3 linked regions of the Caenorhabditis elegans genome follow. The protein of the gene in region 1 purifies or fractionates together with the protein of each later gene. This does not show direct contact. Each region holds a gene or a part of one and is shown in the gene's direction. Other genes may lie near its edges.

What was found. Proteins that work in one complex are often made in the same cells at the same time.
Region 2: the proteins of ctl-1 (region 1) and acox-1.2 fractionate together in Caenorhabditis elegans (co-fractionation; one large-scale study listed by BioGRID). This does not show direct contact.
Region 3: the proteins of ctl-1 (region 1) and acox-1.5 fractionate together in Caenorhabditis elegans (co-fractionation; one large-scale study listed by BioGRID). This does not show direct contact.

The regions. Positions count from the first base shown.
Region 1 is NC_003280.10:14,303,058-14,307,956, reverse strand, and holds ctl-1 (Catalase-2), read left to right. Parts: upstream 1-1,696; 5' UTR 1,697-1,703; coding exon 1,704-1,757; intron 1,758-1,829; coding exon 1,830-2,474; intron 2,475-2,528; coding exon 2,529-2,801; intron 2,802-3,814; coding exon 3,815-4,336; 3' UTR 4,337-4,389; downstream 4,390-4,899. Other genes in the region: ctl-3 (Catalase), read left to right, coding at 1-103. UniProt on the Caenorhabditis elegans protein: Catalase involved in the oxidative stress response serving to protect cells from toxicity. For instance plays a role in defending against oxidative damage induced by excessive copper stress. Not required for maintaining normal lifespan.
Region 2 is NC_003279.8:12,940,694-12,947,109, forward strand, and holds acox-1.2 (Acyl-coenzyme A oxidase acox-1.2), read left to right. Parts: upstream 1-1,586; 5' UTR 1,587-1,614; coding exon 1,615-1,725; intron 1,726-2,391; coding exon 2,392-2,582; intron 2,583-2,848; coding exon 2,849-3,523; intron 3,524-3,846; coding exon 3,847-4,111; intron 4,112-4,165; coding exon 4,166-4,498; intron 4,499-5,381; coding exon 5,382-5,657; intron 5,658-5,702; coding exon 5,703-5,837; 3' UTR 5,838-5,895; downstream 5,896-6,416. Other genes in the region: Acyl-coenzyme A oxidase acox-1.1, read left to right, coding at 1-123, 171-521, 953-1,234, 1,284-1,427; Acyl-coenzyme A oxidase acox-1.3, read left to right, coding at 6,254-6,358. UniProt on the Caenorhabditis elegans protein: Involved in the first step of peroxisomal beta-oxidation by catalyzing the desaturation of fatty acid-derived side chains of ascaroside pheromones, which regulates development and behavior.
Region 3 is NC_003281.10:9,586,172-9,594,048, reverse strand, and holds acox-1.5 (putative acyl-coenzyme A oxidase acox-1.5), read left to right. Parts: upstream 1-1,856; 5' UTR 1,857-1,865; coding exon 1,866-1,930; intron 1,931-2,536; coding exon 2,537-2,702; intron 2,703-3,157; coding exon 3,158-3,322; intron 3,323-3,431; coding exon 3,432-3,501; intron 3,502-4,234; coding exon 4,235-4,328; intron 4,329-4,634; coding exon 4,635-5,344; intron 5,345-5,781; coding exon 5,782-5,940; intron 5,941-6,283; coding exon 6,284-6,426; intron 6,427-6,877; coding exon 6,878-7,159; intron 7,160-7,210; coding exon 7,211-7,336; 3' UTR 7,337-7,437; downstream 7,438-7,877. Other genes in the region: rom-2 (Inactive rhomboid-related protein 2), read left to right, coding at 727-906. UniProt on the Caenorhabditis elegans protein: Involved in the first step of peroxisomal beta-oxidation by catalyzing the desaturation of fatty acid-derived side chains.

The DNA.
Region 1 (4,899 bases):
CTGTTTGGAGGAAATTCAAAATGGAATGGTCAAAGAGTTCACGAAAGTTCATCCGGATTTCGGAAATGCTCTTCGCCATCAGCTCTGCCAGAAGAAGCATTAAATTGTTTGATATTCAAACTTTTGTATATAGAATCTCGTTATTTATAAACTCTTTTTTTTGTATTTCTTCTGGTTTTTGATGATAAGAAATTTTATGTGCACATAAATCAAAAAAGCCGGAAATTAAATAGCGTTTTATCAGGCAGAAAATTGGCCACGTGACGTCATCATTTTCCTGTTTGAAGAAAATCTGGAAAATTTTTTGTTTCAGTCAATTTTTAAAGATGAAAACTTAAGTTAGACTGTAAAAGCAATTTTCGCGCCAAAATTACGGTATCGGGTCTCGAAACGACAGTTTTTTATCTATTGCGAAAATATGTGCGCCTTTAAAGAGTACTGTAGTTGCAAACTTTTGTCGCTGTGGAGTTTTTATCGATTTTTTATATTTTTTCGATGAAAACAACTCAAATATAACAATAAAAACACAAAATTAAAAAAAAAATCGATAAAAAATCCGCGTCAACGAAAGTTTAAAGTTACAGTATTTGTCGTTTCGAGACCGGGTACCGTAGTTTTTGGTGAAAACATTGCAAAATTTGGTCAACAATTTCATCGCTGCGAGACCGACACAACACTTTATTTTATTTTTGGGTTTCCCTTATCGCTTATCATAAACATGTGACGTCATCATCTCTTGTACAGAGCACCGCGACTGGGAGTATAAGAATCGCCGGAAAACATCAATAATCAGTTCGGTAGAAGTGAAAATTGAGCGTAAAATATGATCATTTTTCGATGCACCATATTTGACGCGCAATACTTCTACAAGCCGCTGTGTACTGCTCGTGGACAACTTTGGATTATTTTTTGTTTTTAAAATTCAAAATAGTCAATATATTGCTTATTTATAGCGCGCCTTTTTGACAGTAAGTTTGTCAAATTTGCGCGTAAGTTATGGTGTTTGCACATATGCACCATACAGCAACACCCCGCGGCCCGGCTAGTGGTACATCCATGCAAATGCGCTCTACTGATAATTTGAGTTTAACCAGGTTTAGGCGCAAGATAAGAAAAAAGCTTTGGACCAAAAAATTTAGAGTTTATTTTTTTCGGACATTTTTTATATACATCACAAAAATATTGGGCCACTCGTTTTTGATAAAAACGACAAGCCCAAAAGTTCAGGTATACGGTAGACAAATTGCGTACAGGTACCACTTTTCCACGTAGTGCCAGGTTGTCCCATTACGCTTTGATCTATGAAAAATGCGGGAATTTTTCGTCCAGAAAAATGTGACGTCAGCACGTTCTCAACCATGCGAAATCAGTTGAAAACTCTGCGTCTATTCTCCCGCATTTTTTGTAGATCTGTAGATTTGTAGATCAATCCATTCCCCGTATACCCTGACCCATAATCAATACCTACCTAATTTTTGTCTTTCCCCCTACTTTTTTGCCTGTCCAAAATAAGCGAGACTATGCCGTAGTCTGGTGTCCAACAACATGTTCCTTATCAGTGATAACGCTACAATCTTCTTTCTTTTTTCTCTGTTTCTCTTGTCTCTCCCAACCCATATTCCGTATTACACCTCGTCGTGGTCATTTTTTTGTTCAGAGTTTTATTTAATTCTAAATTTCCTAACTAAAATTTCAGAACCAAAATGCCAAACGATCCATCGGATAATCAACTGAAAACCTACAAGGAGACGTATCCAGTGAGTTTAGAGTTTAAAGGCACAGACGCATTTTCTACAACAACAACTACTATTTACAGTAACTTGTTTCAGAAACCCCAAGTGATCACAACTTCAAATGGAGCTCCGATCTACTCGAAGACCGCCGTGCTCACCGCCGGGCGGCGTGGCCCAATGCTCATGCAAGATGTAGTTTATATGGATGAGATGGCTCATTTCGATCGTGAACGTATCCCCGAGCGTGTCGTTCATGCCAAGGGAGCCGGAGCCCATGGATACTTCGAGGTCACCCATGACATCACCAAGTACTGTAAGGCCGATATGTTCAACAAGGTCGGAAAACAGACACCACTTCTCGTTCGTTTTTCAACGGTCGCTGGAGAATCGGGATCCGCTGATACTGTCCGCGATCCACGTGGATTCTCTCTCAAATTCTATACCGAGGAGGGTAACTGGGATCTGGTTGGAAATAACACTCCGATCTTCTTCATTCGTGACGCAATCCACTTTCCGAATTTCATTCATGCCCTGAAGCGCAATCCACAGACTCACATGAGGGATCCGAATGCGCTCTTCGATTTCTGGATGAATCGCCCTGAATCCATTCATCAGGTGATGTTCCTCTACTCGGATCGTGGAATTCCTGATGGATTCCGTTTTATGAATGGATACGGAGCGCATACTTTCAAGATGGTCAACAAGGAGGGAAATCCGATTTATTGTAAATTCCATTTCAAGGTAAGCCTAAGAGAGACGGGGACTAGAATTAAATTTTCATTTTCTATTTTTCAGCCTGCTCAAGGTTCCAAGAATCTCGATCCAACTGACGCTGGAAAGCTCGCCTCTTCGGATCCAGACTATGCGATCCGCGACCTGTTCAATGCCATTGAGTCAAGAAATTTCCCGGAATGGAAGATGTTCATTCAAGTGATGACATTCGAACAAGCTGAGAAATGGGAGTTCAATCCATTTGATGTCACTAAAGTTTGGCCACACGGTGATTACCCACTGATCGAGGTCGGCAAGATGGTGCTGAACAGGAATGTGAAGAATTATTTCGCTGAGGCAAGTGGTGTGAAGATGAATTAGTTTTTTTTAATATTAGGTCTCCAAATAAGTTCCGGGTCAAAAATCATAACTTTGTTCGCTGTGTATCGATTTTTATGAAACTGTAGGAATTTACGTTATCAACTATGATCTTTCATTTGACAATAGTCACAAAATTTTTTGGCCGTCCGAAGTGCCCTAACTCGGAGCCAATTTTTTCAGGCATTTTTCAGATCTCGCTTCTTTTCAGGTTTCAATTGAGGTTTGTGTGCGGATTTTGCTTAGTTTAGTACACAATGTAAGAAAACAAAAAGTTTGGAAAAAATCCGTCCAAAAAAATTTTTTTTGTCGGTCGTCAAAAAATCTTCAAAAAATTTTTTTTTCGAAAATTCTCGATTTTTTATACAAAAATGATGTAACCATGTGCAAACTATTTTTACACATACAAAACATTTCAATTTATTGCGTCACACTAAAACAATAACAGAAAACACAGCTTTTTCGAAAAATTTTCGAGTTCTTGGAGTATTTCTCGAGATCCAAATTTCATACTCAAATGTTTTGTATGTGTAAAAATAGTTTGCACATGGTTACATCATTCTTGTATAAAAAATCGAGAATTTTCGAAAAAAAATTTTTTTGAAGATTTTTTGACGACCGACAAAAAAAATTTTTTTGGACGGATTTTTTCCAAACTTTTTTTGTTTTCTTACATTGTGTACTAAACTAAGCAAAATCCGCACACAAACCTCAATTGAAACCTGAAAAGAAGCGAGATCTGAAAAATGCCTGAAAAAAATGGCTCCGAGTTAGGGCGCTCCGGGTGGTCAAAAAATTTTGTGACCATTTCAAAATGAAAGGTCATAGTTGATAACATAAATTCCCAAAGTTTCAAAAAAATCTATAAAAGGCAAAAAAAGTTCTGATTTTTGACCCGGAACTTATTTGGAGACCTAATAGGAACAATAAAAATTGCATTTTACGTCTAGCTTTAAAGGTGGAGTAAAAATATTTTTTATTTTGGTTTTCAGGTCGAACAAGCCGCCTTCTGCCCGGCCCACATCGTCCCAGGAATCGAGTTCTCGCCAGACAAGATGCTCCAAGGGCGTATCTTCTCCTACACGGACACGCATTACCATCGCCTTGGACCAAACTACATTCAGCTTCCAGTCAACTGCCCGTACCGCTCCCGTGCTCATACCACTCAACGCGATGGTGCAATGGCTTATGAAAGCCAGGGAGATGCGCCGAATTACTTCCCGAACAGTTTCCGCGGATACCGTACTCGTGATGATGTGAAGGAGTCGACATTTCAGACGACTGGAGATGTTGATCGTTATGAGACTGGAGACGATCACAACTACGAGCAGCCACGTCAGTTCTGGGAGAAAGTGCTCAAGGAGGAGGAGAGAGATCGGCTCGTTGGGAATTTGGCTAGTGATTTGGGTGGCTGTTTGGAGGAAATTCAAAATGGAATGGTCAAAGAGTTCACGAAAGTTCATCCGGATTTCGGAAATGCTCTTCGCCATCAGCTCTGCCAGAAGAAGCATTAAATTGTTTGATATTCAAACTTTTGTATATAGAATCTCGTTATTTATAAACTCTTTTTTTTGTATTTCTTCTGGTTTTTGATGATAAGAAATTTTATGTGCACATAAATCAAAAAAGCCGGAAATTAAATAGCGTTTTATCAGGCAGAAAATTGGCCACGTGACGTCATCATTTTCCTGTTTGAAGAAAATCTGGAAAATTTTTTGTTTCAGTCAATTTTTAAAGATGAAAACTTAAGTTAGACTGTAAAAGCAATTTTCGCGCCAAAATTACGGTATCGGGTCTCGAAACGACAGTTTTTTATCTATTGCGAAAATATGTGCGCCTTTAAAGAGTACTGTAGTTGCAAACTTTTGTCGCTGTGGAGTTTTTATCGATTTTTTATATTTTTTCGATGAAAACAACTCAAATATAACAATAAAAACACAAAATTAAAAAAAAAATCGATAAAAAATCCGCGTCAACGAAAGTTTAAAGTTACAGTATTTGTCGTTTCGAGACCGGGTACCGTAGTTTTTGGTGAAAACATTGCAAAATTTGGTCAACAATTTCATCGCTGCGAGAC
Region 2 (6,416 bases), on another chromosome or scaffold:
AATGTGTCTCTTATGGCTGACTTACATGCATTGACTTCTGGTTTAAAATCAGTTGTTACTCATCAAACTGGAGAAGGTATCGAACAAGCGAGAATGGCTTGTGGTGGGCATGGATATTCTATGGTAGGAATGTTATAATTGAAATTGCAAATTCTAAAGGAATGTTTCAGGCTAGTTACATCTCTGAAATCTACGGAGTTGCAATTGGAGGATGCACGTATGAAGGAGAAAATATGGTTATGCTTCTTCAACTCGCTCGTTACCTCGTCAAATCCGCTGCCCTTGTGAAGTCCGGAAAAGCTTCTCAGCTTGGACCACTGGTAGCCTACTTGGGCGCCAGAAGTGAGCCAACTAGCCTGATAGATAGAGTTCCAAATGGTGGAATCACGGAATACATCAAGACATTCCAACATATCGCAAAGAGACAGACGTTGAAGGCTGCCAACAAGTTCTTCGGATTAATGGAGAATGGAGAAAAGAGAGAAATCGCCTGGAACAAGTCATCCGTGGAGTTGAATAGGGTATGTTTGACTTATGCTTGTGATTTTTGAGAATACGAGTGATGGTACATTGTGGCCTTGATGTCCATTTGCCCATTTCCTTGCAGAAAATGCAAAACCTGCAAAACTTTAGATGCACTTTTGAGCTTGTTTATCAATATTTGTCAACAATCATTGAATTCTTATCAGTTGTCCCTGCAACCTTACTAGGAAAATTAGTTCAAACACCAAAATGTTGGAAAAGTGCATTTGCTATGTAGCAAAAACTGGTGAAATCTGGTAGAATTTTGTAAATCCGAAACCTTTTTTGGGCTCTATATTAGGGTGCATACTAGATACCAGAGCCGTATTTAAAGTTAAAGATGACTAAAGATTCTGAACACACTAGCTTAAGACATTGTAACAAAAGCGACACTCTTAAAATTAAAAGTCCGAAAAGTATATATTTCTAGGCGAGTCGCCTCCACACCCGCCTCTTCATCGTCGAAGCCTTTGCCAGACGAGTCAACGAAATCGGAGATATCACCATCAAAGAGGCTCTCAGCGATCTCCTCCATCTTCACGTCAACTATGAACTTTTGGATGTTGCCACGTATGCACTGGAAGATGGATTCATGTCATCCACTCAGTTGGATTATGTCAGAGATCAATTGTACTTCTATCTCCAGAAAATTCGACCAAACGCAGTTTCATTGCTAGATTCCTGGGAGTTTAGTGATAGAGAGCTGAGATCTGTAAGTTCCAAAGCTAATGGGTTCTAAAATTAAATAACTGAAATTTCAGGTCCTAGGCCGCCGTGATGGTCATGTCTACGAGAACCTTTTCAAGTGGGCAAAGGAAAGTCCGTTGAACAAGACAGATGTTCTTCCGTCAGTGGATACATATTTGAAGCCAATGATGGAAAAAGCCAGGCAGAGCAAGCTATAATTCTAATTTATATTTTTGATTTTTTTTTCTCTTGCATACTCTTTGCTTATACTGTTAAATATTTGAAAATGCAAACATTGCACTTATAAATAGTACAGGCCAATAATCACAACTCCGCCCATCACTCCTTTTATACCCTTTCCATCAGTTCATCCATCCATTCTTCTTTTTTGTTGATATCAGTAACATGGCGAACCGATCAATTCGTGATGGAGATAACCCCGAATTGCTGGAAGAACGGAGGATGGCAACTTTTGATACGGATAAGATGGCAGCGGTGATCTATGGAAGTGAAGAGGTAAGGACTGCAAACTACAAACTATTGATTACAAGCTTTATTAGGCTAATAGAAAATCAGATTATACATAATTTTAGTATGAATCAAGAGTTATCAAAGCTGAAATTTTATAATGTTTTAAAGCACAATGGAATGTATACATACATGTTCTTGAAAAATATTGTATACCTTAAGTGGAGACCATGTATGTTTCGCACCGTATAACTTAATCAGTTAGAACGACATGTTCCACCACGTGGCATTGAACAATAAAATCCCTGTAATTCCACAAAAATCAATTTTCGTCGTTTTCCCTTTGTCGGAAAAATTTTTTTTATTAGGTAAGATTAGATAGCCACTATTTTTTCTGAGAGATAGAGACCATAAAACGAAATACATATTCTGTCAATCAGCAGGAAAGTGCAAAAGTCAATGTTTCTAGTAGTGTGTAAAGGTTTCAGCAAACCATGAACATACATATGTATCAAGATTTTGGACAGTAAAGAAACAGGGAAATGAACTATCATAGTTTATGAGGGAAATTATCCCCGTCGATGCACCATGTTTCGAATGATTCAAACTTTGGTGCCTCACTTTGGTTGATTGCATTTTTTTTTGAAATAATTAATTGTCAACTTATTAAATGAAAAAAAAACTGTCTTAATACATAGAAAATTATTTGTTCAGTTCGCTCGTCGCCGTCGTGAGATCACCGACGCCGTGTCCAAGATCCCTGAGCTCGCCGACATCAAGCCCTATCCATTTTTGACTCGAGAGGAGAAGGTGACCGAGGGCACCAGAAAAATATCGATTTTGACAAAATATCTGAATCAGCTGATTGATAGAGATAATGAAGAAGAAAGTTTGCACCTGCATCGGTAAGGATTTTCTTTTCAAATTCAGTGTGATTTGGTAGATCTCACTTAATTGTCTCATACGTCGGTTTTATTTAGGTTTATAGAAAATTTGTTAACTGGTACAGTATTGTTTATCTGCTTGCTTGCAACTTTGTTCTGAAGTATATGCTAGCGCCTACCGATTTCCGTCAAGAGCTTCCATGAAAAATTTTGAAAAAATAAACCTCAAATGTTTGCCACTTTTCCTTTAAACTTTTCTCACAATCAGGTAAATTCCCACTTTCCAGAGAAGTGATTGGCTACGAGGGTCATCCCTTCGCTCTCCATGACGCTTTGTTTATTCCAACCCTTCAGTCACAGGCTAGTGATGAACAGCAGGAGAAATGGCTCGAGAGAGCTCGGCGACGAGAGATCATTGGATGTTATGCGCAAACTGAGCTCGGTCACGGCTCAAATCTTAGGAATCTTGAAACAACTGCAGTCTATGACATTGCTTCCCAGGAGTTTGTACTACATACTCCTACGACAACGGCGTTGAAGTGGTGGCCTGGAGCACTTGGGAAGAGCTGTAACTATGCATTGGTTGTAGCTGAACTGATTATAAAGAGAAATAACTATGGCCCCCACTTTTTTATGGTGCAGCTGAGAGATGAAAAAACCCATATTCCACTAAAAGGCGTTACCGTAGGAGATATCGGGCCTAAAATGAACTTCAATGCGGCGGATAATGGGTACCTTGGGTTGAACAACTTGAGAGTTCCACGAACAAATCTTTTGATGAGACATTGCAAAGTAGAGGCGGATGGGACGTATGTGAAGCCACCGCATGCAAAGATCGGGTACTCTGGAATGGTGAAGATCAGAAGTCAGATGGCTATGGAGCAGGGGTTGTTTTTAGCACATGCATTGACAATTGCAGCGAGGTATTCGGCAGTGAGGAGGCAAGGACATTTGGATGATAAGTGAGTTGAACAGTGGTTTTTATTGGACATAAAGTACCACAACTATTCAAATGTTATTTGCTCTATCTAGGAAACGTTTTTTGTCTTCAGATTTATCTTTAACCTACAGGGATCTCTGGAAAATTTGGAGCAAGTTGTGTAATTTTGTAAAAAATTAAAATTGCAATGGTCACTGTCAAAAGGTAGCATAGCATGTAAACGTATTCACCTTTTTTTTCAGATTTTTTCGACAACCAAAAATTCTGAATTCACTTTGAAATTTGAACTAAAATCCGATGCCCAATTAATCGTTAACCTTCAATTCTACCACCCAGAAATTCCAGGCAAGTCGAAGTAAAAGTCCTTGACTACCAGACCCAGCAGCATCGTCTATTCCCATCATTAGCCCGTGCGTATGCATTTATATTCACTGGATTTGAGACAATTCACTTATATTCTCAATTATTAAAAGATGTTGATATGGGTAATACATCTGGAATGGCTGATTTACATGCATTGACTTCTGGTTTAAAATCAGTTGTTGCTCATGAAACTGGAGAAGGTATTGAACAGGCGAGGATGGCTTGTGGTGGACATGGATACTCTATGGTAGGTTTTGAAAATCAAGTAAAAAAGAAAAAGCATTTTATGGAGTTGTTTCAGGCTAGTTATATATCTGTCGTATATGGGATTGCTATTGGCGGATGCACTTATGAAGGGGAGAACATGGTGATGCTCCTGCAACTTGCACGGTATTTAGTGAAATCCGTGGAACTTATCAAGGCCGGTAAAGCTAAGAAATTAGGACCAGTGGCATCATATCTAGCAGACAAGAGTGATGAAACTGATCTAACCAGCCTGAATGGATATGTAAAGATGTTCGAGAACATGGCTAGAAGGCAGGCTTGGAAAGCAACAGAGAAATTCTTGAAATTGATGGAAAGTGGGGAATCAAGAGAAGTGGCATGGAATAAATCAGCAGTGGAGTTGACTAGAGTAAGTTTATCTACAACATTTACCACTATTGAGTTCCAAAAGCTCTGATGTGGTTTTTTTCGTGGTTCAAAAATATACAATAGAAATCTAGATCCAAACTATGTCGTTCAGTTGTTTGCCCAATTTTCGAAGATACACAAAGAAAGGCCTGTAGACATATCATTATTATTATAAGTTATTAAAACTAAAAAATATCCCAATAAAAAAATGCGGTAATTTATATGCCAAGGTCAGTTTTTTTGATTGAACTGGAAGCTTCTGGACCCTAGAAAATTTTTGTAATTAAATTCTGAAAGCCCTTAAAATTTGAAACAAGTCCCCGAAGAAACATTTTCAAAAAAGTTCATTTTAAGGCAATTTTTAAAGTTATGAAAACTACATAAATTCTCCCAAAAAAAATGCGCCTAAAATTTGAAAAAAATCTGGAAAGTGCTAAAATTTTCTGAAAAGATCTGGAAAAGTCTAGAATTTTTTAAAATAAAAGTTGGAAAGTTTTAGAATTTTCTTGAAAGTCCGCAAAACTTCAGGAAATTGTGTAACTGTACAAAAATGTTACATGAGCAATTTAAAATTTATTAGAACAATTTAGCGTTCGCCAGTACGCAAATTGTGCATGCGAACGACTGGTTGTATATAATTTGTATTGCTACTAGGAAATAATATCTGGCAAGCATAGTTATGTAAATTAAAACACACAGTTAACAAAAGTGCAACAGATAGTAACCACCTTATCATTTAAATGCAACCTTCATTGGTTTGAAGAAATGTTTTGGTTTTTGAACCAAATTCTTAAAAAGGGTGTGCAAATACTGATACTTTAAAAAAAATTAGAATGTTGCAATGTATACCCAGAAATATCAATTTTTACACCCAGCAATTTCAGGCTAGCCGTCTACACACCCGTCTATTCATAATCGAAGCTTTTATGAGAAGAGTGTCTCGAATTGAAGATATTCCAGTGAAAGAGGTTCTAACAGATCTTCTCCATCTTCATGTCAACTATGAACTATTGGATGTTGCCACGTATGCACTGGAATTCATGTCATTCACTCAGTTGGATTATGTTAGAGATCAACTATATTTGTATCTGGAGAAGATTCGACCAAATGCAGTATCTCTAGTTGACTCTTTTCAGATTAGTGATATGCAATTGAGATCTGTAAGTATTTTGGGACAATGTAGTTATGAAACACAGAGGTTTTAGGTCCTTGGCCGCCGGGATGGTCACGTCTACGAGAATCTCTTCAAATGGGCAAAGTCAAGTCCCTTGAACAACGCAGATGTTCTACCGTCAGTCGAGAAGTACTTAAAGCCTATGATGGAAAAGGCGAAGCTTTAACTTTTTAATTTTTCTTATATTACTTTTAAAAAATAAATACGTCAACAGACTAAAGAGAGCAACAAATACAAACTATTCAAAATCATCACAGACCAACTGATGTATACATATGTGATAAGAAATTGATAAATATTGGCAACATTTTTCAGAATGCAAACAATTATTGTTGCACTTTAATAATGATGATTTTTTTTCTTAAATTACACTTTTTACAATTTTTTGTATATAACAGTTAGTTAATTGGTTCTTACAGTCCTCATTGAGGATTTTATGGCATTGTTCTAGTTCTACCTGAATTTGGAAAATTTTTCAAATATTCTATCTCATATGTTGTGTTATAAAATCAAATATTATAAAAACGAAACTCCTGCAAATGTAATGTATTCCTTTAAGTTTTCCGATTTTCAGACTGTACAATGAGCTCAATTTGCAAAGGAGATAACTCAGATCTCACAGAAGAACGAAAGAATGCGACTTTTGATACGGATAAGATGGCTGCCGTGATATATGGACGTGAAGAGGTAAGGGGGGCAAATAGACTACAAATTACAGGCAGCAAAAGGCCAAATGGCGTATGAA
Region 3 (7,877 bases), on another chromosome or scaffold:
ATTACAATAATTAGTGTTGCATTTAATTGTTCAACTTTGACAGCTCATATCTCAGTTGTCGTTTGTTTTATACAAAAACTGTCAACTGACAACATATTTATTATTTCTTTTTCTATCGATTTGTAGTTGATTATTTATTGATAACTTCGAAATGAACAGAGATATAACCTTTCAAAGTAAAGTGATGGTGAGTATGATGCATAGTTCATCTTTTGAAAATAGAAAACTTTGATAACAAAATGTTCTCACAAAACTGAATAGATAAATCAATGTCATACTCGAAAAGGAAATGATAAATCCGAAAAACGCAGAAAACGGAACAAAGCTTGTTCCGAATTCCGGGGTACTACACTATGGGGAATTAGTTCTAGAACTCACGTATTTCGCAAAAAGTTTCGATTTGAGAATTATAAGAATTTTTGTTTGCAACTTTTGGAGTGATTCATAGATAAGGCAGAAGAAGAGACGGAATAATAGGAAGTATCAATTCTTTAAGCTTCTTAGAGTAAACATTTGTTAGGTGCTTAACAATAGAAGGTACCTTTGTAAGGCAAAATTTGAATTCATTTAAGCCATGCCCAGCCAACTTCCAAATTAGGTTCATATTTTAGAGCAAAGCCACCAAATGTCAATTTTCCAAAAAAAAAAACCCCTAATTAGGGGTTTATATATATATATATATTTATAAATCTGAAAAGATTCCGTGTCATCGTTTAATTTTTCCAGGTGTCAATGTATGGTCATCTTGGAGGCCTTGTCGCCGGAATTCTGTTCACATTCATTTTATTCCGTGGATCCAAACCATCACGATTTTATACTGTTTCTTTTTGGGTGTCCCTTGTACTTTCTGGATTCTTTATCGCCATTTGTATTACTCTTATTGCTGCACCCAGTATGCTTCATTAATTTGAATAAATCTTTACTAACTGAAATTGATTAAGAAATAGAAATATTAATGAGGAAGCAGAAAATAAAAATATATAGTAAGAAAAACATATATATCAATTTTTTTCAATATAGTACACTTGTCGATGGAAATTTTAAATTAATCCTGCTCAATGCGGGTTAGAGTACAACACAAATTACAAAGTACGGACAAAATTGAGCATTTTCGGTAAATTCTAGTTTTGAAATATTTTGGAAATTTCAAAATTTTTAAAATTTTAATCTTCAAACTACAAATGCAACGCCTCATATTTCTAGAAATTACCGGTCCTAGGAGAACCGAAAAAAAGTAAGGAAATTTGATAAAATATATTTATAAAAATAGAGTTGTAAGTGTTTTTTGTTATGAAAATTCTTTTTCAATATTTTCGGAAATTGGAAATTTTTGGCAATTTGAATTTGTCGAAAATAATTAAGCCGAGCGGCAGTTGTCACCCATAAAATTTCAAAGAAAGAAAATTAGAGTAGATATATAATACTATCTACCATAGTTTAACAGGTTGGAATTTTTCAGAGCTCCAATTGTTTTATTTTATAAAAATTTCAGGGACTACAGTTCAAGAAATTATTAAAAATCAGTCATTCAAAAATAACGCAACACGATGTAGTGTGCAAATAGGAATAAACTGTATTTCATGGACGTCTAATTTTTTAATCTTTGACCACATTTTTCATGTTTCCTATTCCCATGTTCTTCTCATCTCTAATGCTGTTTCCAACTCTCTATACCCAACTACGTCACCTCCTTCCATTCTCATTGTGCTCTGTTCATCTCCGGGTTTTCCAATTCTCTCGATGGGTTTTCCGCTCTATAAATACTGATAGAAGAGAGCATGATTTATCGCTATCTTCTTTTTGTCTTCATTCACTTTCCAGTTTGAAACACACTAATCAGTTTATTCGTGTTACAGAAAAAAGAGATGCCGCTGAATAAGTTGATTCAAGATGGAGACAATCAAGATTTGACTGATGAAAGATTTAAAGCGTAACTTTTAAAAAATATCCTTAAAGGGATTATATTTGCTGAAAATAATTCCTAATGTTACTATTAAATTTTAAATTTCATAATGTCATCATTTCAACCTGAGATTTTCGAGGCTCCATAAATCTCCTTTTCTTATTGTTGAGCCAAAATTTTTATTGAATATTTATGTAGAAATGTAGCAAAATATTTTAACTTTCTGAAATCTAATTTTATGAGAGTTGAAGCTTAGAGACGTTGCTCAAAAACTGTCTCAAAGGATGAGTGCCAAGCTGCACTTGCCACTTTGCCTTTTTGCTCGCAGTTTCGAGGAAATTCCCATAATTTCCAATTCGAAGTTTCACCACTTTTGTTTTTTTCTCAATTCGGTAATTAACCATATCATTCTTTACTCTGCAAATTATGGTTTTTCCTATTTATTTTAGCAAACCTGGTTCAAAAAATTAGAACTCGTCATTTCAATGGTAATAACTTTTTTATTTTTCAATTTTATCAGTCGTCAAGTTTATTTACGATTAATTCAATGAAAATGACGTGGATGGCTTAAACAATATCAAATTTGATAGTACATAACTAAACGTCACTAATTAAAGTTTGAGATATTTGTAGAACATTCGATACTGATGCTCTTGCCGCCGTGTTCCATGGAGGAGAAGATGCACTGAAAAGAATTCGAGAATTGAGAGATGAAGTAACCAAGCGGTGGCATTTATTTGATGCTCTTCCAGGTGCTCATAGGACAAGAGCCGAGAGAATGGAGGATGTCAGCAGGAAGGTTAGAAATTGGCACTTTATTTTAAGCCGACGGCAATTGCCAAGTTAAATGTAGAAAGAATATAGAAAATGTTTTCTTTATTTGATAATAGCTTAAATTTTAGATGAAACAAATGGAAAAACGCTCAAAAATTGTCTAAAAATTTAAAATTGTTGGAAAATTTGTTTGATAACTTGTAAGAAATTTCCAATCGTCTGGCAATTTTGAGCGATTTTCTAATTGCTTCGGCTGGAAAACCAGCTATTTTTGAATGAAGAAACGCTTTTTCGATATTCTCAAATTATTATTAAGAGCACCAAAAAATCTATTGTTATATGTACTTCATGTTTACATAGTTGAGTCTTTCAACTATTTTTGGCAATTCTATAATTCTTAATACGTCATCAAAAAATTTTTCATTGACAAGCGCATCTCCACCGAATTTTTAAACAATAGTCTAGTTCTTAAAATTTCAGCTGAAAAACCTCATGGAATCTGTGGGCGAGTTTGCTGATTTCACCAATAATCTCGATATGTTGGTTATCATTCGAGATGTAATGGGCATTGAAGGATTTCCATTGGCTCTTCATAACTTGATGTTTGTGCCAACTATTCAAAATCAAGCCGACGATGAGCAAACTGTATGTTAAATGACTTTGGAAAATGTTTGAAAAAGCTTTGAAACATACTTTAAAGTATTGAAAAACCCATCATTTATCGAATTAAACTATTAATCAATTGCACTTTCAGGAGTGGTGGCTGATGGATGCACTTCAGGGCAAGATCATTGGAACTTATGCCCAAACGGAACTCGGACACGGTAAGTGAAGTAATCCGTTCGATCATGCTACACTGTTCAAAGAAGAGTTTCTGCAGAACACCTGCTTATAAATTACTGATAAGAACCGGGGGTCTCCCCCTCCGGAAAAGGGTATTGCAACATTTTATCACCGAAAATGCATGTTTCGCAAGTAATCTGTGACACGTGAAATATGGCTAGAATTTGTTGAATGATTAATGATTATTTTGATAAGACATATTTAGGAAATGGAGTGGGAAAGTTGAAAGTGGAAAATAATTTGTATATATTTTTTATTATTTTAAGCGGGTAGAATCAAGTAACTAATTCCGAAGTAATCATGATTGCCAAGCAAATCAGGGTTCAAATGTAAATATTTTAAAAATATTTTTTAACCAATCGCTTGGTGTCTAGTTTTTTGTACCTACATCCTCGGCATTTCGCGCCAACTTTTTGCCTAAAATTTGGCAAAAATTTGGTAACAAGCGTTGGGCAGGACTTTGGCAAAACTTCATCTATGATGCTGTTTATATTAGATTTATGATACAAGAAATTTTGGAAGAAAGTTTGGCAAGATTTGGGTCAAACTTGGGAACCTACACCAAAGTACCAGAAAATTTGAAATGCAAACTATCTTTTTCAGAACCTAGTTTGAAATTAGAAATTTTGAAAACTCAATTTTTTACAGCTATATTTAAAATCAAAAGTTCATAGTACGCTAAATAGGAATTGCAATGTCATCAAAAGTTTACAGGAACCAATCTCGGAGCCATCGAAACTACAGCCACTTACGATAAGCTAACGGAAGAATTTATCATTCATACGCCAACTACAACGGCCACAAAATGGTAGGTAGTTGATATCGTAGAAGTATTTATTATCAAGAATTTGTTGAATATTTTAGTTTACTGTAGACTATGAAAAATATTACAAAAAAAAGTGTAAATGTTTCGTAGTTTCCAAACAAAGAAGTTTCAACATATTTTTGAAAACTCTTCAACTCCAAAAAATTTGCAATGTTCTAGTATAAATAATTAAGACATAATACAAATATACAACTTGAAGAAAGATTTTTTTGGGCGACTACAAAATTATTGTCGCTTTTTCTTTAACAAAATCAAAGCAATGCCGATTTAAAAGATATATTTTTTCAGGTGGCCTGGAGGTCTTGGAACCAGTTGTACACATGTCGTCCTTGTTGCAAACTTGATTATTGACACCAAAAACTATGGGCTTCATCCATTCTTCGTCCCAATTCGTGACCGTAATTCCTATTCTGTAATGTCTGGAGTACGTGTTGGAGATATTGGAACTAAAATGGGAGTGAACTGTGTCGATAACGGATTTTTGGCCTTTGACAACTACCGTATTCCAAGACGCAATATGCTTATGAAGCACAGTAAAGTATCAAAAGAAGGGCTCTACACGGCTCCATCTCATCCAAAAGTCGGATATACTACAATGTTATATATGAGATCTGAAATGATTTATCATCAAGCATATTATCTTGCAATGGCAATGGCTATTTCAATTCGATATTCAGCTGTTCGTAGACAAGGAGAGATTAAGCCAGGAACACAAGAAGTTCAAATTCTCGATTATCAAACTCAACAGTATCGTATTTTCCCGGGACTTGCTCGTTGTTTTGCTTTTAACACGGCAGCTGCAACTGTTCGTCAAATGACTGAAAACTGTATTAAACAACTTTCACATGGAAACTCTGATGTTCTTGCTGATTTGCATGCTCTTTCCTGTGGACTCAAGGCAGTTGTAACTCATCAAGCATCTCAATCAATTGATCAAGCAAGACAAGCATGTGGTGGACATGGATATTCGGATGCCAGTTATTTACCGACTTTGTATAGTTAGTTGCTGCTTAATTTTAGGTGTCAATTTTTTGACAGAAACACAACTTCTCGACAATTTTGCAAATTGTCAAAACTTTTGATAAAAATGATTTTTTAAACACCTAAACCAATTCGAGTTTCACCGAAAACAATTAATTTTTGAAAACAGTTGTTTTTTTTGGACCAAAAATCAATTTTTGATATTTTCAATATTTCTTTTTTTGGTTGGTTACTTTTAATTTAATTTTTCCCGTACTTTCCTAAGTCTTCATATCAGAAAGCCACATTATTTTGACATATTTTCTAAATATACATCTAATCAGCTTACGTAGACAGTTGTACATATTCTGACTATTCTCTATGTCTATAGAAACTCGTGGGCGTTGTATCCTATATGTCAAACATCTAATTAGTGAGTAAAATGTCAAAACGTGCAATTAAAATGGTTTTGCAGCTTGCTCGGTTGGTGCATGCACATATGAAGGAGAAAACATGGTAATGCTACTGCAGCTGTCCAAGTACCTAATGAAAGCGGCGGCAAAAGCCGAAAAGGGAGAAGAAATGGCACCATTGGTTGCATATCTTGTAAAACCGGACATTACCGAGACTAATGGTTTGTGTTGGGGAAAAAGATACAGATTTTATTTTTAAAGATTTTCTTGAAATACAACTGGAAACAGAAATGTACAAGTCACCTGAAATTTTTTTAAATTTGGAACATTTCCCAATTTTTTCACAAACAAAAGTTCAAAGGTTTTTATACTTTTTTGAAGTTTGCAATAATTTTTTGTTCAATTGGATAATAATTTTCAAAATTTCAACGTTTTCCGACTCGCCGCCTTGTTTTTTATTTTCAAATTTTCGGGTTTCTCTTACCTAACTTAAATACTGAAAAATCAAAGAACATACACCCTCGTTATGAATATGAAAAGTGTTTTGTCATTATATGATTCCAGATAAGTTCGCAAAGATGCTCAGCCACTTCGAGCACATTGCACGTCATCGTGTAATGCATGCTTATCGTCAAATGATTGAAGAAGAGAAACAGGGAATCGAGAGAGATTATGCTTTTGCAAATCATTCAGTTGACTGGACTAAGGTTTGTATTATTTTTGATAAAGTGTGAGAACTCTGGGTATACCTGGAAAGAAAATTGAGGCCAAGAATTTATGATTTTCGTGGGAGTAAAAGTTATACTCGATGATTACAAATATGAGGTTTTTTATAGCTCATGCAAGATTTTGTAACATTCTGATATAAACCTTTGAGCACCGGGGATATTTTAAATAGTCAGGATTTCAAAAACGAAACAAAATAAAAAATGACACTTTTCTGATGTTGGCGAAGAATCTTTATTCGAAATTCCTCCAAAAGGTGATCAATTAGCTATTTGCGAAGTTCGAAGACGCTGATTGGTTCGAAAGTGAGCGGAGGGAATCGATTGCTAGTTCAGTTTTTCGTGGTGATTCCAAAATGGGCATAACAAAAGATCCCCATTCAATCAATTCCAAAACTCACAACATTTTCAATTAAACAAAATTCCATTTCAGGCTGCTCGTGCTCATACAAAGTTGTTTATCGCCCGTGGTTTCGTGAAAAGTGTGCAGGAAGTTAGTGATGAAGCAGTTCATGATGTACTTACAACACTTGCTGAACTCTATCTCTCTTATGAACTTATTGAAATGTCGGCTGATTTGACAGCTAATGGATATCTTTCCGAATCGGATGTCCAACAAATTCGACATCAAATCTACGATTCAATGAGAAAAACTCGCCGCAATGCTGTTTCAATTGTCGACTCATTTGATATTTGTGATCGAGAGCTTCGTTCAGTGAGTTTTGCCGAATTCCGAATTCTAATGGGACAAAAATATTATTTTCAGGTACTCGGTCGCCGTGATGGACATGTATATGAGAATCTGTACAAATGGGCTCAAATGAGCCCACTCAATGAGAGAAATCTTCCTCATGTTGAAAAGTATTTGAAGCCAATGACAAGCAAACTTTAATTTTGTTTTGATTTGTATTTCTACTTCATTTTTGACTGTTTTATAATAATTTTGTTCACTTTCGATTCGTGCGGTGTAATAAAACTTTAAACTATTAAAAACAACTCGAGAGGTACATTGGTGAGCTACAAAGAAAAACCCGATTATATATATATATATATTTTTTTTTTTTTTTTTTTGAAATTGTTTAAACTATTATGAATATGCCAGTATTCTGAATAGTTTTCGGGGTTTTTTTTTGAAAAAAATTGTTTCCTTAAAGTAATTTCCAAACTGTCTTGTTGTTTACCCGTGAATATCCCTAACTTTTTTTCAAAAATCAGTTAAAAACAGCTTGAAATAACCCACAATCCTAAATCATATTCCGAAGTAAACTTTGAAGTAGATCTCATAATCACTGCGTTTCCCCCTTCTTCTCTAATCCAGACCCCTTATCCTTCAATTTAAATAACCGAACAACAACATGTATCTCCATGGGGATACGAGAGACACTGGACAACGAGTGGGTATTGACCCAAAGAGCCAGAGCCCTGAGCTTCTC